Notamacropus eugenii: one gene and its partners. Each later gene encodes a partner of the first gene's protein in a complex. Links are inferred from orthologs where the notes say so. Each region holds a gene or a part of one and is shown on either strand. Other genes may lie near its edges.

Region 1 (7,003 bases):
ATGTTGGGGCCAGCAAGGGGAGGAGGTGCCTTAATCTCCAAAGCTCAGGCAGCCAGTGCCCAGCCAAGCGTCCTTCCACAAGACCTCAGAGGACCCCCAATCACCCCGCCCCAAGGCTCCTCCCCTGGCCCCAGCCCAGCCAGCTCAATGTAGCAAGCATTGGCCTGGCCTTAAGTGCTCTTGGGATAATGACAGATTTCTCATTGGAACACACCAGGCTCAACGATAATCTAGGTTTTCCATGGGCAAATGAGTATTTAAAGAATGGGAGGAAGAGTGGGACTTAGCCAGGACATGATTATGACAAAAGACCCCTCAAAATTGCCCACACCAGGGCTGCTGAACTCATCAAGCTTAAAGATAATCGTACACCCCCATTTGTCCCACCCCCAGGTGACCAAACAGAATGATGGAACAAACTCAGAGAAATAAAATTTTATTAGCAAAAAACAAGGTAACGTCCAGCTCTTTTTCACAATGATTCAATGCCACACATGCAGGGTGTTCTGGCAGTACAGAAAATGATCTTCTCATATTCCAGTTCCTTCAAGAAAAAGAGGTGGTCACTTTGGAGGGTTCCCTCCAAACAGGAGACAAAGCATACAGAAGAGGTTAAGTTAAAGATCCCTCAGACAGTTCTCTCTGGAACAGAATCTCCTCCTGCCTCCCAGCCAGCCCCAGTGGGTTCAACCTTTGCAGGTTCTGGGGCAAGGTCAAGGAGTAAGACAGGTGGTGTCTTCTTCACTGGGATCCTCATTCATCACTCCCCAGATCCCATACCATTTAAACACCCTTCAGTTACAGTGATGAGGCCGGGCCTCTTATTGAGTTTATTCTGTATTTTAAAAATGTCTTCCATCTTTATCCTCCCCCAAACTCACCTAAGGTTCCTTTGCCAGGAGAGAACCAGGGAGAGCCAGCCTGTGGAAGAATAACACGAGTGAAAAAACCAGCCCAAAGCCCTGTCTTTAGGTGTTTCAAGATGATGCCAGGTGTCCCAGGGGACTGCTCATTACTCAGAACAACCTATCAGTCACTGGAATCAATCAGCCTGGGGCGGTATTCATTTCATCACTGGAGGGAGCAGGCCCCAGGGGCAGGAGAGGGAGGGTGAACTGTGGTTGGTTGGGGAAGCTCACCTGCTGCTATGGATTAGACTTCCATGCAGACAGTGCTGTCCTGTCCCCATGCCAGGTGGCCAGAGCCTACAACTTTGGAAAAAGCCAAGTTAGTTTGCGCGGGTCCCTCTCCAAGACCAGGGCTGCCCCAGAGGATCTTTCCTGGTCAGATATGCACATCTCAACAGGGGGGTTCAGACGAACGAGATTCTATGAACGCATCATGTCAGGAGGCCTACCAAAGAACTTATTACCCAGGGATCACCCGGCCCCAATGGGTCCAAACAAATACTTACATCGCAATAAATGGCCTTCCAGCCTGCCCTGCCCTAGGCAGTCTCCTTCAGGCAGTTCTTAGAAGGACCTACGGAGAGAACGAGTCAGTCAAATCCCAGTCCCTGCCCGTAGGACCTCGCTTCCCCTTGGTACGGTTTCTCAGATGTTCAAGCCTTTTCATTTTATACAAATCATAGTGAGCTAGTTAGACTCATCACTGAAACTGTACCCCAGGCCATTTCCCCAAAGGCCAAAATGATTCATAAAATCTGGTGGTCAAGTAGTCAACTAACCTTTTCTTGAGGAGGGGCCAGCTGATGGAAACAGGAAAGCTGTGAAGCCTAAAACACAAACGTTGAGGGATTAACCAAGTTGCCTTCCTGCTGATCCACAAGCCTCTGGAAGGGCCCTGTGCGTACCTCAGACAGTTCTTTCTGAACAAGTCATCCTCCTCTCCCCCAGCTAGCCCCAGTGGGTTCACCATTGCTGGCTCTGGGGCCAGGACTGGGGTTAAGACGTGTGTTTGCTCTCCTCATCGGTACCAGGGCGATCCCAAAGCTAACGAATCACGAAGATTACTTACCACGGTCTTCTCAGCCTGGTGCAGCACAGCTCGGCATTGCCCTGACAGATGAAACACGAGCAGGTTAGGCAATGCCTTAAACACGGCTAGCAAAGGGAACTCTGCAGCCCCCTACGGTTGATCAGGGCTTTGGTGACTCGAAAATGCCATAAGACACATGTCGTCCATTAGATAATGGGCTCACACCCACATCATCAATTCAAACCAAGGGCTCACAGGCATGCAAGGGAACGGCAGAACCAGGAGGGGCCACTTACTTCTTAAGGAGAAATGTGAAGGTAGCACGGATCAAGCAGATCTGGGAGAGAGGGAGGGAAGCGGGCGGGTCAGAGGGACCAAGGCTGGGGCGGGAACTCTTCTCAACAAGAGCTGCCATCAGAACTCTAACATGCTATAAGAACGGCGGGTCCTCACAGAACAATCAGGAGGTCAAATTCCAATCATCTGACAGGGGGCGGCGGAAGGCGCGGGGAGGTGCCCTCCCTTCGGGCTTCCCAGAAACCTGCAGAGCTGCCCCGAGGAAGCCAGAGAGGACACCCCGCCCCAGCTCCCTCTCGCGTCATTACCTGCAGCACGTTCCGGTCCGGTCCGGTCCGAGCAGGGAAGCCAGCCTAGAGAAACAGAGCGCGTTCACCGTCGGGCCCCGCGCTCGACTCCCTCCTCACAAAGGGCCGCCCCCTCTCAGAACACTGAACGACATCAAGGACTTCAGCCATATGCTTGTCATGGATCATTCATCACGGCGGACACGGCCCTCCACTCCCCGCGGGAGGGCTCGGGGGGGACTCACCGGGAGCGGCATCAGCGGGCCACGCGGAAGGCCGGGGCGCCGGGCACGGCCGGGGCGCCGGGCACGGGCGGGGCGGCTGCTGCAAGGCCGGGGCGCTGGGCACGGGCGGGGTGCCACCTGCAAGGACGGGGTGCCGGGCACGGGCGGGGTGCCACCTGCAAGGCCGGGGCGCCGGGCACGGGCGGGGTGCCACCTGCAAGGCCGGGGCGCCGGGCACGGGCGGGGCGCCACCTGCAAGGACAGGGGCGGCTGCTGCAAGGCCGGCCTCTCGGAGGGGGTGCCCCCCCGCCCCCCGGGGCCAGGCTACTCAGGACGGCAGCTTTCTCCACCGAGCCATCAGAAAGAGAGAATTCCAAGTCCGGGTCATCCTCGTAGCTGCACGCGGGCGCCCGGAGCCCCCCCCGGGGCCAGCGCCCCCCACTCACCCCGGCGTCGGGCGGCGGCCCCGCGGACGCGGCTCCCAGCCACGGCGGCCCTGCGGGAGGAGGCGGAGAGGCGGGTTGGGGGGGGCCCGCACCCTCGGGGTGTGCGCTCTGGGGGACGGGCTCCTTCTCAGAACGATTCTCGTCCTCACAGAGCGTCAGCACAGGTCTGTGAAAGGGATCATCACCGAGGGGGCCTCCTGCCCCCCCCCCCCCGGGGCACTAGCGTGGACGCGCCTCCAGGGCAGGCCCCGGCGCCGGGGGCGCCTAATGATTACGTGCCGTCGACCGCTCGGCCACGGCAGCTTCCCTGCCCCCGGCCCGGGGGTGCGCGCATGCGCGCCAGGAGCTCGGGGGGGGGGGGGGGCAGCCGCGGCCCGGGAACCCCCCCCAAAGGGGGCCGCTGGCTTGGCCGACGAAGTCGTTAGGAAGCGGGAAGCCAGGGGCGCCGAGCGAAATAAATGTGAAAATAAGCTCTCGCTCCCCTCTCCACCCACCCGGTCGTCAGAGACACCGAACTCACCGGCGGCGACAAAAGAGGACGAGAGAGACGCGGAGAGGGGCTTAAATACGGGCTCGCAAGGGCTCATGGGATGGTGGAGGAAAGGGAGGGGGGGAGGGAGCGGGAAGGGGAGGCGCATGCGCAGCGGCCTTTTCTCCGCGTGAGCGCTCGGGGCTCCCGGAGAGAACAAAGGAAGGGGGTGGCCGGAGGCGCGCGCCGAAGCCGCCTACGCCGCTGGGGCCGGGGTGGGGCGGGGCGCACGCACACGTGTGTGCGCACGCGCTTCGCTCGGCCGGCCTCCGCGCCCGCCCGGCCTCGCGGGCCCGCCGGACCTGCGCAGGAGGTCTCGGCGGTGGCCGGTACTCCCGGCGGACGGCGGCCATGGATCGGCGCTCTTCGACCGCGCCGCTCAAGTTCGGCCGCCCCCGGCCGCGGGCGGTCGTGCGCTTCCTGGGCCTCGGGGACCGGGACTCCAGCGCCCGTGGCTCAGGTACTTGGGCCCCGGCGGGGGGCGCGAGGCAGCCCTCGATGGTGCCGGAGAGAGGTCGGGCCCTCTCCTTGGAGCCGGGGTTCGAGCCGGGCCGCCCGGTCCCCCAAGCACTCGGACCCCTCCCCCTGCCCCGCCACGCACTGTCCACACTCCACCCTCCGGGCCTTTGCCCAGGCCTCCCCGGCTGTCCTCCTGGCTCCATGAATTTTCAGTGGCCGTCCTCGGGAATGCTCTCCTTCCTCGTTTCCTCCTCCTCCAGGAAACCTCTTCCCTTGGAGCCGTCTGCACTTGCTCCTCTCTCCATGGCTGGTCAGACGTACTTTCTGGGTGATTTAATAACTTTGGGACTAAGGCCAGCATTTTCATAAAAGCGCGGTCACTTGGCCATCTTTCTTAGACCAAAGACCATCATGTTGGTGGGCTCACCACTTACACGGACAGCACTCCCATCAGCTTTCATTGGCTAACCATGAGAAAATGAGCATTGCAATTCAAATGAACTTTGGGTTATTTACTTCGAACCCCTAGCCTTAAGCAATCTGCAAAGAATTTACCCCCATCCACACCGAGTACAGTACAATGGCTTCCCCCGTACTGGGTCTGAACTAGACTACTAAGAACAGTCTCATTATGACTAACGACCTAGAAAAAGGGGGGAAACTCAATCTCCCCAAATTATTGGTTATTAATAACTTCTCTCAGGTATCATTGCCTGAAAGGAAATCAAAAGGCCTTTTTTCATTTCTGTTGGACCTCCAAGATACTCTTCAGCCTTGGACACGCTGTCCATCCCAGTTTTCTCCACCCCCGGCCATCTTTCACCATACTTGTTAGCCCTGGGCCTGTTGAGTCAGCTTCTCTTTAGTCTCCTGTTGGATCATCAGCACAGTCATTCCTACTCCCCAAGGGGCCTTTTCTCATTTTGTGTTTTTCTTCCTGTTGTCCGTAGCTCTGATGGGTTCACTTGCCATCTGTTTGCAGATGATTCCTGGATCAATACTTCCAGCTCTCATTTCTCTCTGGAGCTCTGCTCCTTCATTGCCAGCTGCCTTCTGGGCATCTCCAGCTCAACATGTTCCCTTCTGATATAGTGGCCACCCTAGTTTAGGCCCTGGTCACCTCTCCCCTGGACTATTTAAATAGCCAGTCTTCAGTCTCCCTGCCTCATGTTTCTCCCCACCCCCATCCATCCTTTGATCAAAAGTGATTTTCCTAAAGCACAGGTCAGACCATGTCTTCTTCCCTACTCTCAGTAAACTCTAGTGGCTCCCTCTTGCCTCCAAGATCAAACATAAAACCTTCTTTGTGGCATTTAAAGCCCTTTCCTCCCTTTCTATTTCCCTCTGTGTCCTCTTGATGGGACACTGGCCCCCCTTCTGCTATGTTTTGGGTTTTGTCTCCCCCACTTTAAGCAGGTGACACCAGCCCCATGGAAAGTACTTAATACATTTAGAGAGAGTGCCTTCTCTGAATCTGCTGAGCTTTTCTTTTGACTGCAGGTTATTATAGGATCTAGAACTAGAAAAGATGTCAGGGATCTTGTCCAACTCCTTGATTTTACAGTCATAGTGTGTAGTCCCTTGTGGTGTGGGATCGATGCAAGGGGATGCTGGGAAATGTTTAAAAACCTGACTCTTGGGGAAAAAAGTACTCCAGGCACACTTGTAAATTTAATCATCTTTGTTCTAAGTGTAGACTAGGAGTGGGGAACCTTCTGCCTTGGGGCCATGAAGGTACTCCATCACTGGTCTTAACAACCAACAAAACAGTAAGTCAAGCTTCGCTTGGTAGTTTGGTGATTTCTGAGCAGGTGAATGCTCACTTCAACAATTTAACACCTGACTCTTTCTGCCCCGTTGACCTGGCTCCAGGACGCCCTTGGCGTGTTCCTTTTTGGACTGGTTTTGGACCAGTCATGTAGGGTGAGAAAGAGGGGAGATGGCTACGCAGGGAGGCCAGGCTGAGATGGCATGGCTGAGCTGGCATGTGGCCCATGTCTCTCATCACTCCAAGAAGGGCCCAAAAGCTTGAGAGCTCCCCAGGGTTTAACTGTCATCTCCATACAGATGAATGGCCTTGCCAGAGGTTACATGGGAGGGTTAGGGAAGGAGCCTACACTAGAAACAGCTCCCTCCCATCTCCTGCAGTCTGGTAACAAAGCTGCCTCCATTTGGATGGCCCAGGCTAGTCATGCTTCTGTCTCCTCTGGCCTTTGATCCTCCAGACTTGACCCCCAGCCTCGCTGGTCCCTTACCCTCCCTTTAATGGATTGGCTTTTCCCATTGGAACATGAGCCCTCAGAGAACAGGGACTGGCTGTGGCCTGCCTGCCTCGGCTTAGAGAGACCCCCAAGGCAAACAGGCCCTGCTCCTGGACAAGCCAGTGCTGCAGTCATCCCCATTTTACAGGTGAGGAAACACTCAGAGAGTTAGGTGATTGGTCAACACATCCTAGTGTTGAAGAGACAGGTGGGAGAGCTGGTTCAAAATGTGGATTCACTTAGACCTTCTCTGTAGCCATTGGGAGCTTTACTGACACAAAAGCAGCGGGCCTGAGATTTAACAAGGAGCTAAACAAAGGCAGTGAAATAGGAAAAGGACCAGACTTATATAGGGTGATTTTAGGGTTTCCTGGTGGGAGGTTGGAGATCTTGGGTAAGTCTTGCAAGATAAAAACATGGGTAAGGGCTATGAATGACACAATATAAGGAAGATAAGGAAATCTTATTCCCAGGATGAGGGGTAGGAACAAAGAATTTTATGATCCCCCCAGCAGGATAAGGGGAATTTTTGTGGTAAGGGGAGACTTTAGGGCACCTAGGG
Region 2 (7,053 bases), on another chromosome or scaffold:
CTCCCATTAACCTGTGGAATTGTGCCACATAGTGCAGTCTGGCAGAAGAAGATGAGGCAGCTTTCCATTATACTTGTAGGTGAAACTTTCCATATGTGTTGTCTCCCCCATTACAATGTGAGCTCCTTGAAAGTAGGGACTGTATTACGTTACTATTCATATGTCCAGCACTTGGCATAGTGCTTTTCACATAGTGAGTTCTTCGTAAGGTCTTTTTTCATTCATTCATTCATTCGTTCGTTCGTTCGTTCGTTAGTTCATTCATCCATCCATCCATCCATCCATTCACTAGATATGAGGGTGCCAGTTTCCAGACTACACCAGGAAGGAAGTACATTTACATAGGATAGAGCCCCAATCTCTATACCCTAATTATGGTTGCTCAGTTTCCACACCAGGATTCTTCCTTTTCTGTCAATTGATAAACATTTGTTGATCCCCTCTTACATACCAGGCACTGTGTTAAGTGCATGAAACCTGGAGGAGTAACACTTATAGTCTGATTTTGTAGGTGGGTGGAAGGAGTCATGGTAGACGACTGCCATTAGAATCTTTGTCTAAAGTTCTGTTTTAGTGGACATTCATTTGTCCTCACTTGCCCATTTTCCTCTTGTATAGCTCTAATTGTTGAGAAGTTGGGTTTGTTTGTTCTTTGCTGATATCAAGCCTAAATTACCTCTTTGCAGCATTTATCCAACATTCTTGATTCTTGCATCTGAGATGCAGAGATTTCCAAGCCTTAGAGTTTTAAAAAAATGCCAGGTTTTGCTGTTGTATTTTTGACGTTGATTGATGGTTGATGGTCCATATATTAATGACGAATTAATCTTCTCAAAGGAATTTAGGCCAGAAGAGTTTGCAAAGTATGGAAGCAATGAAAACCTGAACTAATTCCTGGGCTACGTAAGGAAAACAGAGGCTTTTCCTTATAGAGAAAAGGGAATGGGGTTTAGACTGAGATGATCTGCATTTGAATACTGACTCTGGTGCTGAATGTTCAACACCTTGGCTACTATCTCTCTCTGAAACTCAGTTTCCACATCTGTAATGTGGAGTCAACTAGGTGGAACAGTGGATAGAGCTCTGACTCTGGACTCAGGAAGATCTGAGTTCAAAATCTGACCTCAAACACTTGCTAGTTGTGACCCTGGGCAAGTCACTTAACTTCTGCCTGCCTCAGTTTCCTTATCTGTAAAATGAGGATAATCATAGCATCTACCTTCCAGGGTTATTGTGAGGATCAGATGAAAGAATCATTGTAAAGGGCTTAGCAACAGTGCCTGGAACATACAGAGCAAGTACTTTATAAACGTTGTTATCATTATTATTAAAGGAGGGGTTTGGACAACATACTCTATATGAAAAAGATCTTCCTAAAATTCAGAACTATCTAAAAATGTGATAGGTCACCTCAAGAGTGGTGGGTTCTCCATCACTGGAGGCCTTCAAGAAGAAGCTGAATGATAACATTTTAGGTATGATAAAGAGGAAATTCTTGTACTGGTATGGGTTGACCAGATGAGATCCATTTCAATTCTTACATTGACTGGTGAATAGTATATTGGGCCTGGACTCTGAAAGACTAGGGTTTGAATCCTGCTTGTGGCACTTAGTAACTGGATTACCTTGGGCAAGTCAGTCCCCCTCTTGGAAACTCAGTTTCCCCTTTAGTGAAATGGGGCTAATGATACTCATAGTTCTGAGCTCAACTGGTTATTGCAAGATCCAAAGGAAATAATTTCTGTAAGACTTTGGTGTTTTTGCAAATCTTTTAAAAGTGTTTATGAAAAGTTATATAGTCATTTGTTGTTACTGAGATAGTCCCCTGCAGTTCTAAGTAATCTGAGCCTATGGAACTCTCTTGGGCATCTCTATGTAACACTCCAGAGGATAACTGGACAGAAGAGGGGCTGAGTGTTCTAGGACTATTGCTTGGCTTTCTCCAGCCGTCTCACTTCTCCCCTGACCTTCACACCTGTCTGACAGCTCCTCAAGCTGGTTAAGTGATAAGAGCAGAGGGATGATAATAACTTCTTCCCATTCTGGAATCCCAAACCACAGGTAACAGCAGCCAATCACTGACCTACAAGCTTGGCACCAGTTTCAGAGGCTGTTTGTTGGTAGAGGGAGATAGAGGGCTTGAAAGACCTTGCCACTTTTTAATGTTTCTTTCTGTTGAAATTCAGGGTGCCGGGGACCCCAAAATACCGATACACTGGGTCCTGTCGAATGAATTCAACTTAAGCTTTCTTTCAGTCAAAGTAAAATAAAATTTATTGAAGATTCACCATATTAGGTTGACTGTTAAGGAGTCTAACCATTTGTAATGCTGTATACAATCTGAGCTAGATTGATCCTGATTTAGATTGAATCTGAGTGCCTTCATGGAGGCAAGATGGAGCCTATATACAGAAAGACTATGGGAGGAATCTGGAGATGTCTAGTAGTCTGGGGGTTCCAGGGATGGTCCTGATTGGGGTGGTCAGCCTGGAATGTCTAGAGGTATGATCTTGATCGGAATGACCAGAATAGAGGTCAAATCTAGGCAGGATCTTGATGGGAGTGACCAGTACCCTGGGGTGACTAAACATTAAATCTAGAGGATCTTGATGGGAGTACAAAGTAGCCTGGAGAATAGGATTTTGATAGGATAAAGGTGGAGAGTAAAACAGAGATCTGGGCATGGTGATAATGAAAAACTTATGGTCCTCAGAGAATGCCAGATCAAATATGAGGAATTCAAGGAGCCCTCGGGGTGAGGCCCTCCAGGGTCCCCTAGACAAATGGGACCAAAACTCCTCTGGGCCAAGAGACAAAGATCTCAGCTTGGGCTTGTACCCTGTCATTTCCGTGTGAATTTTTTTTTTTTAAATCAAAGCAAATTCTGAAAATCTGATTATAACTTTCTCCACCCTGACCTCCTCACAATACACTTAGTAGTTGTGGGCAAGTTGGTACCCCTCTTGGAAAGTTTTCTCATCTGTGAAATGGGACTGAAAATACTTGTAGTTCTGATCTCAGAGGAGTATTGCAAAACCCAAAAGGATACAATGGATATAGAGAATTCCAAACACCTTCCACTAAGGAAAGTCTACAACTGAGCAGTGAGTTGATTTGCTTAAGGTAATAACATTTTATGCAGCAGCCTAAACTTGAACCTAAGTCTCTTTTCCCCCCTCAATTTTCTTATCTGTATAATGAGATGGAGAAGGAAATGGCAAGCCACTCCAAGGTCTTTTCCAAGAAAACCCCAAATAGGATCGGGAAGATTCTGACAGGACTGAAATGACTGAACAACCACAAAGCAGTAGTCTTTGCAGCCTCTACAACTAACTTCAGGGAACAAAAATGCCCTGAGGGATGTCAATTTCAGCAAAAATAATTCTCTTTAGGAAATCACCAAGTAACTTGGAAATCTGAGAATGATTCTCGTTGGGGTAACTGTGGTTTTTAAACGTAGTCATATTCTCGTGGATCACACCTTCGCAAGGCGAAAATGTAAGTGTATTGTCAGAGCAAAATGAAAAAATCCCTCCCTTCCCTCAGTATGAGCCACAATCCCCTTCAAGAAGAAGAAGGTGCGGAAAAACTCTCTCTCTCCCTCTCTCCCTCTCACTCTCTCTCCCTCTCTCCCTCTCTCTCTCTGTCTCTCTCTCTCCCCACCTACAAGATAGATTTGCTTATGTTGCTAGGCAACCAAAAGTTTTCTTTTCTTTCTTTTTTTTTTTTTTAAGGAAGTAAAAAAAAGGTGTGCATGGGGGGTCGCACTTTGGGTGACTAATGCAGCTTGATGTTCCCTTCAACTTTTGGCTGCTTCATGAAAGAGGTGTGGGTGCGTGCGTGTGCATGGGGAAGGGAGGGGTGGCGATCCCAGATAAAAATGAAGTAGATGTTTCCTGTTTGGTGTTTCATTTTCTTTCTGTTTGAGGAGCCTTGGGGCCTCCCTGAGTGTTACTCTCCACCTCTGGGAGGGTCTCTGTGGGTTTCCTCCCTCTGGATTGGCTCCTGAGGCCTTTTAAGTGAAGGCTTTGTTCTCTGCAAAGCGCAGGTCAGTTGGGCTACACGCTGCCACTGTTTGGGGAAAGGAGAAAAAAAAGAGCTGAGTAATGCTGAAGCCTTCTCCTGTGGCTGATGCAAACCTGGAGAATTTGCATCATCACTGAGCTGGAGTGAGTTGGTGTGACAGAAGCTTAAATACGGGCGCTGGAGGGAGCTGAGCTAGGTTCTAATGACAGGGCAGTAGCAGCAGCAGCGAGGGGCAGAACGGAAGGGTCCGGGCTGCCATGGGAAAGGCACAGGTGCTCTGGAGGAGGCATTAGGGAGGCGGGAAGCGTAAAACACACCTTTTGAAGGTCCATACCTGTGAACCCTAGAGCAGCGTGAAAGGCTACCAGGACAGGAAAACAGTTCGAACTCAGTCTGATCAGGGAGACCAGACCTTGTTTTCAAAGTTTTTCTCCTCCTGCTTCTCGCCTTTCTCGTTCTCCTGGTCCTCCTCTTCCTCCTCATCTTTCTTCTTTTCCTCTCCTTCCTTCTTCTCGTCTTTCTCTCTTTTTCTGTATTTTTTGCTTTTTGCTTTTTATTTTTCCCCTTGAGTTTGGCAGAATCCCACTATGGTCAAGAAGCCAGTGATGCCCTCCATTTCCAATGGAGACTACCTCCAGGGGGATGCTCAAGGTCACTTGACCTCCAGGGGCAGCAAAGAGGCCCCCGAGCAGGCTAAGATGGTGCTGAAGAAAAAAATCACGCTGCTGAGGGGCATCTCCATCATCATTGGCACTATCATCGGGGCTGGCATCTTCATCTCCCCCAAAGGAGTTCTCCAAAACACGGGCACCGTAGGCATGTCTCTGATCGTCTGGACGGTCTGTGGGCTCGTGTCTCTGTTTGGTGAGTTTATGTTTAAAATTGGAGTCCCTTGAGGGTATGTGTGTGGGAGGCTGCTACTGGGCATGCAGCTTGGCATGCTGATTTGGGAGGTGAGTGGCTGGTCTGCTAGTAGAATTAGAGTAGAAGTAGAGGAGAGTGGTAATGAGGAGAAATCATTCAAGTCATCTAGGAGTTTCTGGATGACTTGAATAGTCCCCTCTTTTCCTTCCCCAACCTCCTTTATTTCCCTTTCCTGATGAAGAGAAAATCTTTTCATTTCTTTATAGTGATGGAAATAAGCACTCATTTTTATTGCCTATAAAAAGGCAAGCACTGGACATTTGTGCTTGTCTGGGCAATGCTAGGGCTGAGCCCCTGAAGCCTCTGTGAATTGTAAAATCTGGTTGGCCTAGTTACATTCAGTGCTGAGTTGTCCAACAGTTTTCCTGACTTCTTATTGGTGAAACAAATGGTAAGGCAGTGCTTTTCCTTAAAACACTAACACAGACACACAAACAGACATACACACAGACACACACCCCACCTTCATGGGCCTGACTTTTCCGTGTGAGCCACTGAACTGTAGAAAGATATGGCAGGACATACCATGAGGAATTCTGCCCTTGCATCAGTCAAGGATATGATTAGTATGTTATAACTTTTCATATCCAACCTCCTCCCACCTCAATTATCTTCTGCTTAAATATTGAGCTTGGTTGGGTGCGGGTCTAAGCAGTTTATTCAGTCATTTTTTTCACTTGTGCCAGTTTGTTGACGTCCTAAAGTTTGATAAGATGTCCTCAGAGAAACTTAATGAACCTGGAAAAGAAGCTTCCTCCCCCAATTCAGATGGCTGCATTAAAAGCCTATTTAAAGAATAATGGACAACACCAAAAGATACCTACTCAAGACTCAAACAAAAAAAAGTATCATTCAGAGTTTTTGTTAAATGTCAGGCCCCTACAGTTATCTGTGGCCTAAATGATGAGCTAGGTTGGATGGGAGTCTAAGGGGTATACCCAAGCCTCATTTTCTTCCCCTGTGTCCATCTGTTGTTCCAAAGAGTTTGGTGACAAGATTACCTTAGTGAAACTCAATGAAATTGTTCCAAATTTTAATTAAGTGTCAGATCCATACAGTGTCATCTGTATTGGTCCAGTACATGAGGCAGTACCAGTTAATCATCTGACCAGGAATAGAAAGCTAAATCTACCCATTTTAAGCAAGGTAAGTCCTAAATAAGCTTGTTTAAGGATCAAGGAGAGTATATTCTGATTCCGGAAGATTCAGAAGAAAGATCACTTGGAAGTAGAGTCAGAAAACATGGCTCCTAGTACTACGCATGTGGTCTTGGGGAAGCTACTTGACTTCCTTTGGGCCTCAGTTTTCCTAATCTTTAAAAGAAGGGAGTTAGACTAGATCAGGGGGTGGGGAACCTGTGGCCTTGGACCACCTATCGATTTCTAGGTCCTTTGGTGGCCAGCCTTTTGACTGAGTCTAAGTTTTACAGTTTTACTAAAGGGATTTATTCTGTAAAGTTTGGATTCAGTCCAAGGGCCACATTTGAGGACCTAGAGGGCCACATGTGGCCTGGAGGTCTCAGGTTTCCCACCCCTGCACTAGATGATCTCTAAGGTCCCTTCTAGCTTTGACTTTGATCCTGTGAAGGTTCTGACCTTACCACTACAAAGCAGTTATTCTGTCTTAGAATAAACGCTAAGTCAATTTTCTTAGGGTTTTCCTGACTCATTCATATTTTTTCTGGACTCTCAAATATCTCATTCCAATGATTTTTCTATTCAACTTCAGAACTCGAGTTACATTATAAGGAAATTTACATAGATGTAAAACCAGTTGACTGGATCCATAGCTCTGCCATTAAACCAAGGAGTGGAGTCTTCTAGGACAAATTTATAAAGAGTTAGGTTTCCTTTCTCTTCCTTGCTTACTTCTTCCTACCAGCTAGTCTTTTACCTTACCATTAGTTTCATTTATTTTTCTTTTGGTCTGGAACTGTGACTTTTGCATTGTAAGCAGTTTTTGCTGGGGAAACTCTACCAATTCAAATCAGCCACTTGTGATCTCATGGCTTTGTCTGAGATGCTGAAGTTAAGTGACTTGACCATGGTCACAGGGTCACCACAGCAGTATATTAGAGGAAGAATTTCAGGCCAGGTCTCTCAG
Region 3 (7,476 bases), on another chromosome or scaffold:
TTGAGTCTTTGAACTAGTGAGGAGTGTTAACTAGTGTTAAGTGGCATCTTAGAGTCAGACTATTTTAGTTTGTAGAGATCTTTGAGGCTCATTCAGTCCATCAGCTTTCTCTTTCTCAGAGCCTGACCTCTGGGAGCTTCCAATCTGACCTAGTAGAGACACTGTCAAATGGCATCAGAGGAAAAAGGACCGGGTTTAGAATCAGTCCTATTAAAGTGCCCTGCTCTCAGCTATTTACTGACCTTGGGCAAGTCCCTTTCCCTTTAGGGGCCATGATTTCCTTTGGGGAAGGGGAGGAATGAAGAAGTAAGACTTGATTATATCTAAGATCCCTTTCAGTTCTAAATCATAGGATCTTATGACTGTGCTCACCCCATGTTTCTCAGGAAAAGAATTATAAAAAGAATTCTGGAAAAAGTTATGTCTCCATTGCAATGACTAGCCACAATTTCTGAGGATTAATGATGAAACAAGCTATCCACTTCCTGAAAGAGTGGTGATAGCCTCAGGGTGCAAAATGAGCCACACAGTTTTTAGACATGGCCAATGTGGGAATTTATTTTGATATATGCATATTTATTACAGGGTTTTTGTTTCTCCTTTTTTCCCAATGGAATTTGTAGGAGGCATAAATTTTTGTTAGTGGACAAAAATTAAAAGTTAGATAAAAGCATTATATCTTTCCTGGAGAATAGAATAGACAGAAAGTTTGGAATAATTAAGGAAGACTCCAAGGAGAGACTTTGGAGAGAAAGAAAGGAAAAGGAGTTGCAGGGGCAGTAATAAGCTCTGCCTGTTTCAAGGCTTGTAAATATATCAGTTTGTGGAACATAAGAAAGGTAGAGTGACATCAGATTGTGGAGGACCTTGAATGGCATGACAGGAATTTAGCACTTTTCCTGTGGCTGTTGTGAAAACCAAAGGTGCCAGGAGAGAGGATACTGAAAACATCTTGGATTAGAAAGATTACAATTAGAAGAAGATGAAAAAAGGATTTGAGAAGAGGGACAATCCTTTCCACTTTGGGGCACCTCTGATTATCAGGCTTCCTTCTCCATAACTCACTGCTCTTAAGTCTGCCCCCCAGGGTGTCAACGTTCTTCACAAAATTTAGCTTTCAGAACCAGACACAATGTTCTGAGTGTGGTCTGTCCAAGGTACAGCAAGACTTTCACCTCCTTTGTTCTGGACGTTAAGCGTCTATTAATGAAACCTAAAATGATGTTTGCTTTTTCAGTTGCTAGGTTAATACTGATGACTTATAATAACCTTGCAGTCCATCAAAACTCCCAGGTTCCTTTTACTCAAATTGTTACCTCGTTAAACTTTCTTCCCATGCTGTATTTGTACAGTCAATTTTTTTTAACCCAGGTAGTACTTTACATTTAAGCCTATTAATTTTATGCTCTCTGAAATACCATTACCTCAGAGGAATCACAACTGCAGGCTACCCAAAGAGCAATGAAGAGAGATAAAGGATGTGAGCAAGGGTAGCATGATAATAATGGCACTCTATCCACTATACCACCTAGCTGCTTTAATAATGATGACTTGTATGCTAAATGTGACCTAAGAGATACCACGAACACGTATATCCAGACAAGGAGGTGAGCTAAACAGGTAGCAAGAGTGAGATCTAATAGATGGCTAGCTCAAGTGCTCCACTGGAATCCCTAAGATATTAAAATTAGCAAAGGAAGGTCTCCAGTACAATGGTTGAATCCTCAATGTAAAATCTGAATTAAAAAATAGACCAATAGGCATAACATGAAAACTTGGGGATGGAACATACTCCTGAGAAAGAGGTGCCCACGTCAGAAAGAACTCAGATCCATTTATGATTTTGTCACTGTGACTACTCTCTAGGTAAACACTGATCACAAAACACTTCTGCCCCTTGGTAGATGATCTTCATTAATTATTATGGCCAAAATTCAGTGCCAAATGGACAACCTGCTAAGCTTCTCATAAATGAATGAGATATTCCTTACATAAGAGATATGTATTCCATTGTCTGTGTCAAATTTCTTTTCAGCTTAGTAGGCCCTTCTAGTGTTTGTGCTTGTCTGACACACTTCAAGAAAGTAAGGTTGCCTCCATATCCCCAAAGAGGCATTGAAAGAGGACCACAGCAAAAGATCCATCCAAGATTCCAAATGTAAACTGATCTAATTATATTCAGTCCATTATTCTAGTCTGTTGAGATCTTCTTGGATCCCAATTTTGCCACCCTTTATGTCTATGAAGCTTTTGGCATAGTTCACCATTCCTTCTTCCTGGGTATTCCCTTTTCTTGGTTTCAGAGCAACTAAACCTCTCTTCCTTCTTCCTCTCTAACCAGTTCTATCACTATTGCTTTTCATCCACTTCCTAACCTCTATTATGAATGTTCTCCATGGTCTGTCTTTAGTTTAGCCCTCTTCTCTTTCCAGCCGGTACTATCTACCTTGGCATTCTCATACTCCCCCTCCCCCAGGCATACTATAACTCCCAGGAATGTATTGAAAACTGTGACCTCCTTCTGAGATCCAGTTTATCACCTTTAGCTACATATGTCATGTCTATCTAGTTGTCCCCACCCAATTCAACATATCCCAAACCAAGTTTACTATCTTTTCCCTAAACCAACTCACCCTTCTGACTTCACTATTTCTATCTGCAATGCCACTATTCAACTTCCTTTTTATGGCAAACAAGGCCTCTGATCAATCAACCAAGAAATATTTAATAATCACTTACTGTATGAGAAATATAGATAATAATAGCTAATATTCACACAGCACTTAACTATGTACCAGGCACTGTCCTAAGTATATTATAATTATCTCATTTGATCCTCACAACAAGATGAGTGCTATTATAATCTTCATTTTACAGATAAGGAAACTGAGGCAAACAGAGGTTAAGTGAGATGCCCAGTATCACATAATAAGTTTCTGAGGTCAGATTTAAACTCAGATCTTCCTGATTCAAGGCCCAACACTCTATTCACTGAGCCTCCTAGCTTCAACAGTGAAGGAGTTTCTGCCCTCGCTAAGTTTATATTTTACTGTTCCAACCTACTTTTCCAACTCTATCTCTCAACTCATTCTGCACTTTGGCCAAACTGGTCTTTCTGTCTGCTAAATGCATCATACTATCTGCTTCTATCTCTTTGCTCACTCCTTTCTCCTCTCCCAAATATAGAAGTACCTTCCTTTCCTTCTTCACCTTTTGCATTCCTACCTGTTCTTTACAGGTCTTGCCAAAGGCCCCTTTCCTGAAGCCTTCCTTGAATCACTTCCTTGAATTCCTTGGTATCAGTTTCTTCCCTCAGACTCTCAGAGCCCTTTGATTTCTACCTCTCTAATTCACGTTCCATGCGCTCTGTTATCATTATGGATTTTTGTATCTTATCACCCTTCTAAACTATGAGTTCCGAGACCCAAGAGCCTGTTTTATCTAAGCTATGTAAACGAAATCAATTATCTATCGTAGTAGCCAAGACCTTGCACATAATAGACTCTTAATGAATGTCTGTTGAAGTGTATGTGTAATATATGTTTGGTGACTAAATCCAACTTATTAACCACCTTTGTCTTCCTCAAAACACCCATCTTGGCAAACGGGGCTTCAATTAAATACTTGTTGAATGAAGACATGTTTAGAATCGACTCTCTTTGGAACTCATTTCAAATCCCCCGACCAGACACTGACTTCACATTGAGCCTTGGCCCTGGCCATAGCCTAATCCCTAAATCTGACTGAGACTTAAGTCCCACTTCAAATGAAGCCATGACCCTTACCCTAGACTGAGATGAACCCTGGTACCAGACTAGATGCTGATCCTGGTATGACAGACTAACCCCTTAACTCTAATCACGGACTAAGACCTCTCCTCAGACTGAATTGTCCCCAACCTTTGGCTCATTGGTTATGGGGAACAGGAGACGAGAAAATGTGGGATGCTCAAAGTCCTCCATCATTTTGCCCTTCAGGAGACAACCCAAAATCCCCTCTCATCTGGGGGAGGATGAAGATTATCAGTAACATTCCCAGGGTATTGGGCTGAGACAACATATTATAGATTCCTGTATTGGAGGCTCATCTGGATGAAGGTTAGCTTATGTCCCTAATAAGCTGTATCCCCTGGATCAAAAGTGCCATTTCCTCAGGGTCGGGCACAGAGTTCTCAAGAGGTTGGGTAGGTCTAACTCACTGCTTGCAGGCATCAGAATATCCAAATTCAGATCTATGAAAATGGTGTTCCAAGGGCCCTTCAGACTTCTCCCAGGACCTTGGCAGCTCAGTCTCAAAGTTTTTCCTTCTGATCCTCTATCTTAAGGAGCCCCGGGGCTCAGGGTTGAAGATTTCGCTTTAAGGGAGGGTCTCTCGGTCAGTGTCCGCGTTGGGGCCCCTCCCCCGTCCTCCAGCCCTCCAGGGGATAGGGCCCGGACCCCGGGCGGAGCGCCAGCGCATGCGCCTGCAGGTCTGCGCTGCCCGTGGCTGCGAGGCGCGGACCGGGCGCAGACTGAGTAGGGGACGCGGGGACAGCGACATGGCCGGACAGACGCAGCAGCCGAGCGGGGGCGGGGACCGGGGCCCTAGTCCGAGCCCAAGCTCTCCTGCGGACGGCTTGGCCGCCACCCCAGCTCCGGCCCCAGCTCGGGTAGAAGAGAGGGTGACTCTGAAGAAGGAGATTGGGCTGGTGAGCGCCTGTGCCATCATCATTGGTGAGCGGGGGCCGGTATCCCGGGCTGGGACAGAGGGAGGGGGGGAGGGAGGCTGTTGGGGTCGGACTGGGGACCCGGGCAAGCTGGCTGCACTGGGCACTCTGGGAGCAGCACGGCCCCCAGCAAGTTGAGCAAAGTTGGCTGCAGTCAAACCTGTTGGAGTGCCAGCTGCTCTGGGGTTCGCTCTCTCGGCACGCAGCGCCCCCGCCCGGCTCGACCCGCGCCCGGGACACCCTCCTTTGAAGGGACGAGACTGGATGGGATGGGACTGGTCCCGAGAGGTCAGGGACACGTGCCTCACCCCCACCCACTCCCCTCAGCAAACACTTCCTGGCAACATCCACCCACGCCGGGACCACGGCCTCGATGCAGGGCCCTCGGCATAGCGCGAATCGGCGATGTCCCCATCTGCCCTCGTGGCACTAAGAGAGGAGCTCAGGAGCAGCCACAGCAGATGAAATACTGAGTCTCAGGGCTACGTCCCACCCTGTCCTGGCCAGAGTCCTCCCTGTCTGAAAACAGTTTCCCAGTCGTGGGTGCCCCAGCTCCCGAAGTATAGAATCAAACGCCAGTTTCCACCTCCCTAGTCCGAACATAGAGCGCGCGCGCCTCCCCGGCCCCAGTCTCTTGCCCCAGTACCCAGTCTCATCAAACCCAGCACAGTGATCTTCCTCTTCCGGGATACCTCCGTCTCCCCAATCATAGGGGACCAGGCTCCTCTCACCGAGCAAAAGGACTTTCTTTTCTCTTAAGCGCCTAAATTAGTGCGCAAAGTTTCGCTTGCCAAGCTGGTCTTTCCTCTCCAGAAGCTGGGTGCTGGAAGACTGGAGGACCTCGCGCTACTTTGGGAGCCTAGATGCTGGGAGGAGGAAGGGTCAAGGCTTCGGAAGAGGGACTGGTAGCTGCAGAGAATGTCCCAAAGGAGAGGATTTTTAAGGGGAGAAGTCGAGGTCAGGTATGGGATGGGGTGATGCTATCGCACCAGAATCCCCAGGGAGCAGAGAACCTGTAGCAAGAAATAGTCACAAGAGGAGACTATATTGTGGCGTAGAACTTTTGTTGTGGGAACTTTATAGGAAAGGAGAGAAAACTTCACGAAAAACTTTAGAGCAGGAAGAGAGGAAATTGTGGCAATGTACCGAAGAGGGAAAAAGAGATGTAGCCAACAGCTTCGGGAGAGCTGAAAACATTGTTGCGGGAGAAGGGAGAAGGAGAACAGTTTTGGACTGCGGGGCTGCGTGTTTAGTTTGCAGAGAGGCTGCCTCTCCTTACAGGGGTTCAGCACCTGGGCTTACCTTTATTTCCCCCCAGAGTGAATAGCGACTAGGGAGGGGCGGCAATTAAGAGGCAGTGGGAGAAGCAGCCTTGGACAGTACATTTGGGTTAGGGTTCCAGTTCTGCTACTAACTTGCTAAGTGACTTTCAAATCATTTCTCCGTCTGAACCTCAGTTTCTTCCTCTGTAAAGTGGGGATAACAATATCTGTTTAGGAGAGCTAATTCAAAGAAAATTGTGAAGATTAAGTGGGATGGTGACTAAGAAAGTGCTTCGAGAAGTAGCAAGTCCTAGGTTAGAGGTACTATTAGGAAGTAGGAGCTTGGTCTGAAAAGGAGGGAATGAATGAAGAGCACACAAATAAGGGAAGTATTTGACCTTGAAGATTCAGAGGGCAGGCCAAAATGTCAGTGGTATGACTTGCAGGGGCAAGGTCTTCTAGGCCTAGAAGCTAGCTCTCTATTCACTATGCCATACTGGTGATGATGATGAGGGTGATTGATGATGATGATGATGATGGTGATGATTCAAGACTAGATGTTTGACACCAGAAATTGCAGAAGGATTGTTCTTATAGCACACAGTAGATGCTTAATAAATGTTTGTTGACTGGAAGGAGCCCAGACTTATTGATTACTTCAAATCATGCGAGGAAATGGCAGAAATTGAGTAACATGTCATTGCAGGTTGTAAAAATATAGCACCTACTGAATACCTAGGAAGATACAACCTAGTAGCCAGAATACATCAGAGCCTCACTATCATCCATAACCTAATAGACAATAAATCTCCATACTATAATACAGACTTCCAAATGACCTTAATAGTTCAATAAATAAAATATACAGGGACCATAGCATTATCCCAGACAAGACTGTCACCTATAGATACCTGAAGCTAACTCTGAGTCATAGACATTTAAGAACAATGTGTTTAATTGATGTCACCATACCAAGTACTCCTTATCTTCAAACTATACAGAAAGAAAGGCTTTTAAAATGTAAATGCCTATTGGAAGAAATGAAAACCATGTGAGACTAAGCTCAAGTACATATTATTCCTGTGATTTGGTCTGCTGCTAGAGTTGTACTACAGATGCTTTTTGATCCTACAGAAGATGAGCTTATAATTTAAATTATGAAAAGCAGTCACTTTATCCATCTCTGCAAAAGTCATCAGAACATTCAACATATAGAAATAATAGCAGGATAGTGACCTTTCTTAAGATTATTTCTATCCGAACAAAGACGAAAATGAGACAATAATAATTCACATTTTCCCAGTGTTTTAAGGTTCACAAACTGCTTTGTTTTCCTCATACCAGTCCTATCAACTATATCATATTTATTGTGTACCTACTGGTGGCATGGCCCTGTGCCTGGTGCTCTGAAAGAGACAGATGAATGAAACCAGGGATGTGATGGTAAATGCTTAACAACTGCTTCTCTGGGGAGAAAATATATGTGTGACACACATTTCAGTCTGATCT
Region 4 (7,839 bases), on another chromosome or scaffold:
GTGTAGAACTGCTATGGTAGATGGAGTTTCTTCACCTAGGAGTTCCCAATTCTGATGCAATAATAGCTGTAATCTTAAATTTCACCCTTCTATTTTCCTCACCTAATATAGATGATGAGTAAGTAAAGAGTTCACTGAAAAAGACAAGTGGATGATCTCTATAGTCAAGCCTTTGCTTTAATAACAACCATTATTAACCACAGGCAGCTAGGTGGCACAGTGGATAGAGCACCAAGCCTACAGTCGGGAAAACCTGAGTTCAAATTCAGCCTCAGACAGTCACTAGCATCGTGGCCCTGGACAAGTCACTTAACCCTGTTTGCCTCAGTTTCCTCATCTGGAAAATGAGTTGGAGAAATAAACAGCAAACCATTTGCAATATCTTTGCCAAGAAAATCTCAAATGGGGTCACGAAGAGTCAGTCATGACAGAAAACGACTAAATAGAAAATGACTAATTGAAATAACACGTCACCATGTCATGTCTGTATTGGAACAGTAGGTGTCACCCACTCTCAGCCTTTCTCTGGAAAGGGAGTACCTGCCACTAAATCAGCCTTTGTAATTATTTCACCTTCCCTTCTACCTTTCTCAAGTTAAAGGGGAACAATTTGCTCCTAACATAAGTAAGCAATATTAAAAGCCCATTCAGATGTTGGCAACCGAGATATACTATAGGACATATTCTATATATTCTATCATATTTTATATTATTATATGTGTATATATGCATATATACACACACACATATATACATATGTGTGTGTATGTAATATATTTAAAATGGAGAATGGGGTATTGGTGTGGAAAGTGGGAATTGTCATTGGTAGATCCCTTTTGAGTTTCAAAACACATTAAGAAGGATGTTGGAGAATACATTTCTGGCCTAACTTTAAGAATACTTATGCACAGATCAGACCAAATTCCCCAAATTCCTTCAGAGATAAGTAGTTAAGGTTTAGAACTGGCTGGTTGTTGTCCTTCCTTGTCGAAGATCAAAATGACATCACTGTGCTAGAATCAAATTTCAGTGTGTCCAACTGTGGCTGTTCAGGCCAATATGAGCTCGAAATGTTCGACCACAGGTTGGGCACAAATAGTCCATGTGAACATTTGGGGTGAATTCTCTAAATTTGCTCATCTTGCATTTCTTTTGAGCTACTTCCATTCTGCTTTGCTCATAGGGCCCAGCACCTTTTCTGATGTGGGCACGCCATACTGAGATGTCCTGTGCCAGTATCTCCCATGTCATAATCAATATCAAAGTTAAGAAAGACCTTGGGAGTGTCCTTTTATGGCTTCTTCTGAACACCATATGAATGCTTGCCTTGTGTGAGTTCTCCATAAAATAGTCTTTTTGGCAAGCATATGTTTTGAACAACATGGCCAGCCCATCAGAGTTGGCTCTATGACGTAGAGTTCGAATGCTTCGCAGTTTAGTTCAAGAAAGGACCTCAGTGCCTGTTATCTTATCCTGTGAGATGATCTTTAGAATCTTCTTAAGACAATTCAGATGGAAAGGATTCTGTTTCACTGTCTACAATCCAGGTTTCACAAACGTACAACAAATAGATCAGTCATCTAATCCAATAACCTCATTTTATGCAAACTGAGGCCCAAAGCAGGAGGAGTCAAACTTAGATCTTCCAATTTCCAAAACCAGAGCTCTTTCCACTATCCCTCATTCTAGTGGGTGTTCATTTTACAAAGTACCCTGCGCTTCATGTATTCATTGAATATCTAATCAGTTGAAAATATTAATGATTTTCCTTCTGCATTATCTCTCCCATATGTCCCTTTTTTCTCCACTTACACTACTATCACCTGGGTTCAGACCCTCACTATCTCTCACCTGAGCTATTTCCAGAGTCTCCTAATAGATCTCCCTATTCCAATTTATTTCTACAACCCATCCTCCACACAGCTGCCAAATTTATATTACCTAAAGCTCAGATCTGATTAATGTCACCTCTCCTGCTCAAGAAATTTCAGTGGCCCTAGGATAAAATGCAAACTTCTCTCTGAACACTTACAATCCTTCATAATCAGACTTATCTTTCCATATGAATTCCACTCCCCCTCACATTCCCTCTTTTCTGGCCTGATTGACCTGTTTCCTATAGGACACAGGCTTCTTTTATGCCTTTGTACAAGCTCTCCCCCCTTGTCAGAAAAGTTCTCCCTCCCCACTTCTACCTCTTCTAATTCCTAACAGCCTTTTCCTTCATTCAGCCCTAGTGCTAACTCCTACAAGAAGTTTTGTCTTTCTTGACCCCCTTCTCTTACCCAGCAGATTATTACATATGTAGACATCTTGTTTACATGTCTCTGCATAGAGCTTATACTCTAGTGAGGGAGACAAAAATACAAAGCAAACTGTATACATGATAACTGGAAGATAGCTAAAAGTGGGGAAGGATTGGAATTAAGGGAATTAGGGAAGAATTCCTGTACAAGGCAGAATTTTAATTGGGACTTAAAGTAAGTCAGGAAAACCAGTAGAATGGATTCTCCTTGATATTAGCAACTATTTAATTTTTGCCTTATTCCCAATGCCTAGCATAGTGCCTGGCATATTAATAGGCTCTGGATAAATGCTGAATTAGGTAAAGTGAGGGAAATAGCTAGTTGTTCATAAGCTGCTTTTCACATAAGCTAGGTGGTGCCAGAGTACACTGAACACTGGGATCTGGAAGATCTGTGTTCAAATCCAGTCTCAGACACTAATAAGTCACTTAACCCCCATTTATCTCAGTTTCCTCATCTGTCAAATGGGGATAGCAATAGTTGCTATCTTATCTTCCACGGTTGTTGTGAGGAACAAATGAGACAAAAATTATAAGGCGTTTAGCACAAATTAACTTGCTATGTTTGATAGAGATATAGATCTAGATGTGTGTGTGTGTGTGTGTGTGTGTGTGTGTGTGTGTGTGTGTGTGTGTATACACACTAGTAAGCTAGGGACTAAATAAACACAAATAATAATTTGTAGCAATTCTATAGTTCTGGACTTCTAATATGATTGTACCCAGAAAGTTGCCTTGCCCCATAAGTCCCTCCAGGGTCTACTAACTAGGAGCTAAGCTTTCTCAGTCTAGTTATCTCTTGTGTTGGAGAGGTTTTGTATTAATCTGGTAAGACTCATGTTAAATTTATATCCTTTTAGTCATTAATAAGTTACAGAAAAAAAGCCATACTTGCAAGAATAAAAAAAAGTTACTTTTTTTGAGCCTCTCAATGACAGAATCTAACAGAAATCACCAGACTGATTAATAATAACTAAAAGAATTTTAATTGTGAATTATAACCTAAACCTAATGTCAAATGCCAAAGGCAGCATCCCCCTCCCCCAAAATGAAAGTTTCTTTTCCAATGACTCCTTTTCTGACTTTCCCCATTCCCTGACTGTTTTGCTGAATTTCTCCTTTCACCTCTTTTTGCTGAGGCTTTCAGTTTGCTTTGTCTCTATCAAATTCCAGGTAGAGGAAGGGGCTGAGGGCCATAACCTTTGAAACCTCTTAATGAGTGAGCCAGGAGCTTCAAGGACTGAAAACTCAGGGACTTTTAACTCCTATGCAAAGTTACCATGAGCCCAATCTTAGGGTTCAAACCTTTCTTTGATAATCTCAAGATTCAATTACGTTTGTGTGCATATATGTTTGGTTTGGGGTTTGGTTTTTTGTTTTTCAAAAAAAGGGAGTTATTCTTGAGCAGATTTCTGTAATCAGTAACCTCAAGGAACTTGGGCATTTAGACCTCTCCTCCCCATAAAACAGAAGCATTGTATACTGAACACGTAGGCAGGCTGGAATTAACTTTATGTTTTATAATGCAATCTTCTGAAGTATTTCAGGACTTTTAAAATGCTTTACCTCTCCACTGAGATGAAATACAAAGAATTCCAGGAAAAAAATGCAACCTGAAATACCTGGGGCTAAGGTGGGGTGGGAGTGGGGGGATGGGGAAGGACTGGGGGAATTAGTCATTATTAAGGTAATTTATTAGCCATGACCTGGTCTCTGGATCAGTAAAATATTTCTTTTTCTCCATTCAAACAGTCCAGTCACATTTTTTTAATGGAGTTGTAAAAGGTGCCATTGGGTCAGATTTGTTCCACTCTTTGCCTATGACTGGAGTCCAAGCTTAGCCCATAGTCTAACAGTTTTGCATTCTCAGTGTCTCATTTGGTCCTACTTGTAAAAGTTTCCAATTGTGAGCCAGTCATCCCCTTCCTCTCCCCCTCATCTCCCTCCCCACTCCCCTCAGATTTTAAAAGAAAACAATAATTTTAAAAGCAAAACCACAAACCCCTCCATTTGTTAATCTCTAACAGGAAATGTGCCCCCCTTTTTATTAATCATAATTCTTCTTTTATTTTCCTTCCATATCCTCAAATCATGTCTCCCATTCCTTCAGATACTTGGAGTCATCCCAGGGTTCCTTGCTCCTAGTACCCCCAAAGAATCTATGCTTAATTCTTATAAAACTTTGTCATGAGTCCAGTTTATTTCTAATGGGAGTTAAAACGGTCTCCACAACTGTTCCCTTATTTATAAAGCTCACAAATGTTACATGACATGTAATGCTATACCAGTTAATGAATCTCCCTGAACATTTGTGAGGAGAGGGATTTATATGCAATTTGTTCCAAAGGAGGGAGATGGAAGGGAGGAAAACTGCCGATCCCGTGTTCCTTGGAGGTCTTTTGGGTTTGTGTGCTAATACTGAAATCGAAGAAGAGGGAGGAGAAAGCTGCTGAGGATGGAGAGAAAAGGGAGAGGAGGTGGAGCTTACTGTGAGTTCAGGAAATAAAACCCCAGCTGGAGCTAAGGGCTTTCACACGTGAAGAAACTACTGTTCCTTTGGCTACGGAGAGAGATGGAGAGCTCCAAGCTCTAAGATAGATAGCAGAAAAGAAAACCAGACCTAGGACAGGAAGACAAGAGAGTAGCCTCTAAGAATAAATAAGAACACTGGGCAAAATCTGAAGGCAAGAGAAGGGAAGGGAAGGGAAGGGGAGGAGAGAGGAAAGGAAAGGAAAATCCACACCCTGTGCAACAGAATCTAGAGCAAACCGGCTGTGTCTGCAGTTTGTTTTTCTGAAAGACAAAGCACCTGAGGATTGTCTTTTTTCTAAGATTGTCAATGAAAAAAATAGTCTTACCCTTCTAACAAAAAACAAACAAAAACAGCCAACCGAGCTGAGCTAAAAGCCAGTTTGGATTTTGGTCTGAGGAGAGAGCTGAAGGAAATCCAAACTGTCTTTGGTGCATCTGAATGAAGCAGCTGCCTGTGTAAACTGAGCAGAATTCAGCCCTGGTTCAGGAGATCCACATCCCCTCACTCCTGTGATTTCTACAGGGAGTAGCTGGTACAGTTCTATTTTTGTACACACCTCTATTTTTCCTTTTTAAGCCACTTTCTTTGGTGGCAAACTAGAGCGACGGGAAAGTGTCTTAATTATACTAATATAAACTTGAGATTTTATTTTTTACCTGCATGTGCCTTTATTAAAGGACCAGGACGAAGGGTCATTATTTTAGGGAAAGGACATTTTCTTTCATTTGAAAGGCTTAGGAAGAAATAGAAATAGACAAGTAGGCAGAGAGGAAGGAAATTTCAGTGGTTGATTTTTTTTTTTCCGAAAAAAGATGGAAGAAAAGGCCAGGCACCGAAACAACGCTGAAAAGAGCCCCAGCAGCAGGAGCGAATCTGATCCTGGTCCAGATGCTGGTTCTGGAGGGGGAGGAGTAGCCCTGAAGAAAGAGATTGGGTTGGTCAGTGCTTGCGGCATCATTGTAGGTGAGTCTGACTGGTTTTCCTTTCTGTGGGAGTTAAATGGGCTTCTATTTCTCCCTCCCGGTTCCTCTTGCTCCTTATGGAATCATGTAGCAACTAAAGAATTCTTCTGTCATCGAAACAATTGGTAAAGCACCTAAAATTCACTGACGCCTTTTCCCTGCTGGTTGAGCTGCAGGGATGCACAAATTAGGTTACCATTCATTTAAAGCCAAGAAGCCAATAAAACTTGACCAAATGCTGCCAAAGATGAATGACCCCATCGTTTATCTTTGTGCCTGCAACCTCTGTGTGAGGGGGTGGGCACGTAGAAACATCAGGACCCAGGCTGGAGCTTTGGGCAATTCTGCTGTCTGTCCTAACGAGTGCACCTACCCCACTTCTTTCAGAGAAGAGACTGTGTCAGACTTTCTCAGAGAAGCAGCAATGACTTGAAAATGGAGCTGGGAAGAACAGACAGATAAAAGTATTTTATGGAAGCCTATGGCCCCCCATTAATCCTTGGGTCACCCTGAAAAAGTGCCTGGTAGCAGACCCATGGGTGTGTGGCATCATCTCTCGGAGTGGTCGATAGCGCCTCGGTCCAGTTTCTAGGCAACACTCTTCCTAGCGAAGCATTGAGATGATGGATTATAGCAACTTGCTCGACTTTCCTGGGGAAGTTCCTATGACTTTGGCTTTTGGGCACAATTGGTGTTGTTTTAACTCACTTAGGAAAAGTTGTGTTGTGATTACAATATTTGCTTGTCCGCTTCTCCTTTTGAACACCAGTTTTACAACTTATTGTATTCTGGTGCCCAGGAACAAGATTATCACATTCCAGACACCCCAGAGAGGGATTTCTTTTGGACTCTGAGAAATGAAAAGGCCTGGCCAGGAACAATTCTTCCCCCCACCGGCCAATTCAGATAAACTTCTCTCACCTTTTCTCCGGCTTTGATCATCTGTGGTCCTTGTTATCGTCTAAATTGGGACCCTGGGGAGCTCATTTCATCTTCATATTCTTATGACCTCTGCTGGAGGGAGAGGATTGAGTGGATTGGGGGTGGGGTGGGACTTGTCTGGCTTCTACAATTTTTCCAAAGCCTAATGTAAAAAAATTATAGTAAAAAACATCCCATTCTCTTACTGACTTTTATTTGCCTAGTTTGTATCTCTCCCCAAATGATCTTGGCCAAAGTACCATGTAGGTACCACCACACGCTAACAGTAAGGGCTATAAATAGCCTGAAGCCTGTCACCTCTTTCACCAGTATGACTGAGAGGATTAAATGTTTTTATTCCCTTTTAGGCAGGTTTCTGATTAAGGCTCATATACACATACATTCTTACCCCCCATTTCTAGCACCCCAATACACGCACATGATTCCTGTATGCTACAGTGAGTTGTAATCCTAATTAAATATAGAATGTCTACAAACTATTTCTCTTTTAAAGAATCTGAGGAAGTGGAGATGCTTAGCTGCCATGAATACTATCTCAGCTGTTCCTACAAGGATTGGTCCATGAACTTTTTTGAGTGTGAGAACAGTTTAATCTTGAACCCAAACCAGGCACCAGAAAATGTCATTCCAGTTACAAAAATAACAGCTCTGAGGTTCTGTAGTAACAAAAGAGCTTATGTGTTTGTTGTTCCAAGAGATGATGAGTAAGTTATTTTTCTCAGGAGTCAGATCCCTTATGGATGCTATTGTGTTCAAATATGAGCTAAAGTGATGATTGCTTGCTATTTAAGATGACTGCTTGGTTGCGAGACTGCTTCTCTGGTGGCATTGTGGTACAATGCAAAAAAGAGCTGAATTTGGAACCTGAGAGCTTGGGTTCAGATTTTGACCTTGGCCAATTTAATCTCTAGATTTGTTTTCTGGTTTTTAGAAATAGAAGGCTGGTCCCTTTCAATGTTAAATCTATAAGCCTAACACAGATCACCGGTCCCTGAGGGTTAGACAACAGAAGCTGCACCTCAGTAGCCATATTCATTCTAGTATTTTGGCCTGGGCTGAGAGATCTCTTTCCATGCTAAGTTGTCAAAAATAGTACT

Evidence for each region.
Region 2: the proteins of SLC3A2 (region 1) and SLC7A11 are in contact, whole or in part, in a cryo-EM structure (PDB 7P9V), measured with the Homo sapiens proteins. The link is inferred for Notamacropus eugenii from reciprocal best matches to the Homo sapiens genes SLC3A2 and SLC7A11. Residues at the interface, in NP_002385.3 of Homo sapiens: Glu167, Leu170, Ala173, Trp178, Thr181, Arg182, Phe189, Trp190, Trp193, Met196, Leu197, Gly199, Ala200, Ile203, Ile204, Ala207, Arg209, Cys210, Glu212, Leu213, Lys299, Arg534, Gln559; in NP_055146.1 of Homo sapiens: Leu151, Phe154, Phe155, Ile156, Gln157, Cys158, Glu159, Pro161, Leu163, Ala164, Leu167, Ile168, Ala170, Val171, Thr174, Val175, Val178, Gln217, Gln219, Val360, His373, Thr487, Gln489, Ile490, Ile491, Glu493, Val494, Val495.
Region 3: the proteins of SLC3A2 (region 1) and SLC7A10 are in contact, whole or in part, in a cryo-EM structure (PDB 8WNT), measured with the Homo sapiens proteins. The link is inferred for Notamacropus eugenii from reciprocal best matches to the Homo sapiens genes SLC3A2 and SLC7A10. Residues at the interface, in NP_002385.3 of Homo sapiens: Phe161, Thr162, Gly163, Leu164, Lys166, Leu169, Leu170, Val172, Ala173, Trp178, Arg182, Leu186, Phe189, Trp190, Trp193, Met196, Leu197, Ala200, Ile203, Ile204, Ala207, Pro208, Arg209, Cys210, Arg211, Glu212, Leu213, Arg534; in NP_062823.1 of Homo sapiens: Leu147, Val150, Phe151, Asn153, Cys154, Pro157, Ala160, Val163, Leu164, Met166, Ala167, Met170, Leu171, Trp174, Ser352, Val359, Glu481, Thr484, His485, Trp486, Gln488, Glu489, Leu490, Phe492, Val493, Val494, Tyr495, Gln497.
Region 4: the proteins of SLC3A2 (region 1) and SLC7A8 are in contact, whole or in part, in a cryo-EM structure (PDB 7CMI), measured with the Homo sapiens proteins. The link is inferred for Notamacropus eugenii from reciprocal best matches to the Homo sapiens genes SLC3A2 and SLC7A8. Residues at the interface, in NP_002385.3 of Homo sapiens: Thr162, Gly163, Leu164, Ser165, Lys166, Glu167, Leu170, Ala173, Gly174, Trp178, Arg182, Leu185, Phe189, Trp190, Trp193, Met196, Leu197, Gly199, Ala200, Ile203, Ile204, Ala207, Arg209, Cys210, Arg211, Leu213, Lys532, Arg534, Asp558, Gln559; in NP_036376.2 of Homo sapiens: Leu147, Leu150, Phe151, Pro152, Thr153, Cys154, Phe155, Pro157, Ser159, Gly160, Leu163, Leu164, Ala166, Ile167, Leu170, Leu171, Trp174, Gln294, Ser352, Met356, Val359, Glu481, Thr484, Leu485, Gln488, Lys489, Met490, Cys491, Val492, Val493.

The regions. Positions count from the first base shown.
Region 1 is NC_092873.1:15,925,243-15,932,245, forward strand, and holds the start of SLC3A2 (amino acid transporter heavy chain SLC3A2), read left to right. Parts: upstream 1-4,072; coding exon 4,073-4,181; intron 4,182-7,003. Other genes in the region: uncharacterized protein, read right to left, coding at 1,473-1,482, 1,688-1,735, 1,978-2,018, 2,544-2,588, 2,768-2,998, 3,193-3,411, 3,468-3,752, 3,922-4,074. UniProt on the Homo sapiens protein: Acts as a chaperone that facilitates biogenesis and trafficking of functional transporters heterodimers to the plasma membrane.
Region 2 is NC_092877.1:134,703,252-134,710,304, reverse strand, and holds the start of SLC7A11 (cystine/glutamate transporter), read left to right. Parts: upstream 1-4,044; 5' UTR 4,045-4,169; intron 4,170-4,604; 5' UTR 4,605-4,613; coding exon 4,614-4,890; intron 4,891-7,053. UniProt on the Homo sapiens protein: Heterodimer with SLC3A2, that functions as an antiporter by mediating the exchange of extracellular anionic L-cystine and intracellular L-glutamate across the cellular plasma membrane.
Region 3 is NC_092872.1:454,207,878-454,215,353, forward strand, and holds the start of SLC7A10 (asc-type amino acid transporter 1), read left to right. Parts: upstream 1-4,459; 5' UTR 4,460-4,537; coding exon 4,538-4,712; intron 4,713-7,476. UniProt on the Homo sapiens protein: Associates with SLC3A2/4F2hc to form a functional heterodimeric complex that translocates small neutral L- and D-amino acids across the plasma membrane. Preferentially mediates exchange transport, but can also operate via facilitated diffusion.
Region 4 is NC_092878.1:9,925,455-9,933,293, forward strand, and holds the start of SLC7A8 (large neutral amino acids transporter small subunit 2), read left to right. Parts: upstream 1-4,837; 5' UTR 4,838-4,989; intron 4,990-5,262; exon of another isoform or gene 5,263-5,370; intron 5,371-5,650; coding exon 5,651-5,801; intron 5,802-7,839. UniProt on the Homo sapiens protein: Associates with SLC3A2 to form a functional heterodimeric complex that translocates small and large neutral amino acids with broad specificity and a stoichiometry of 1:1.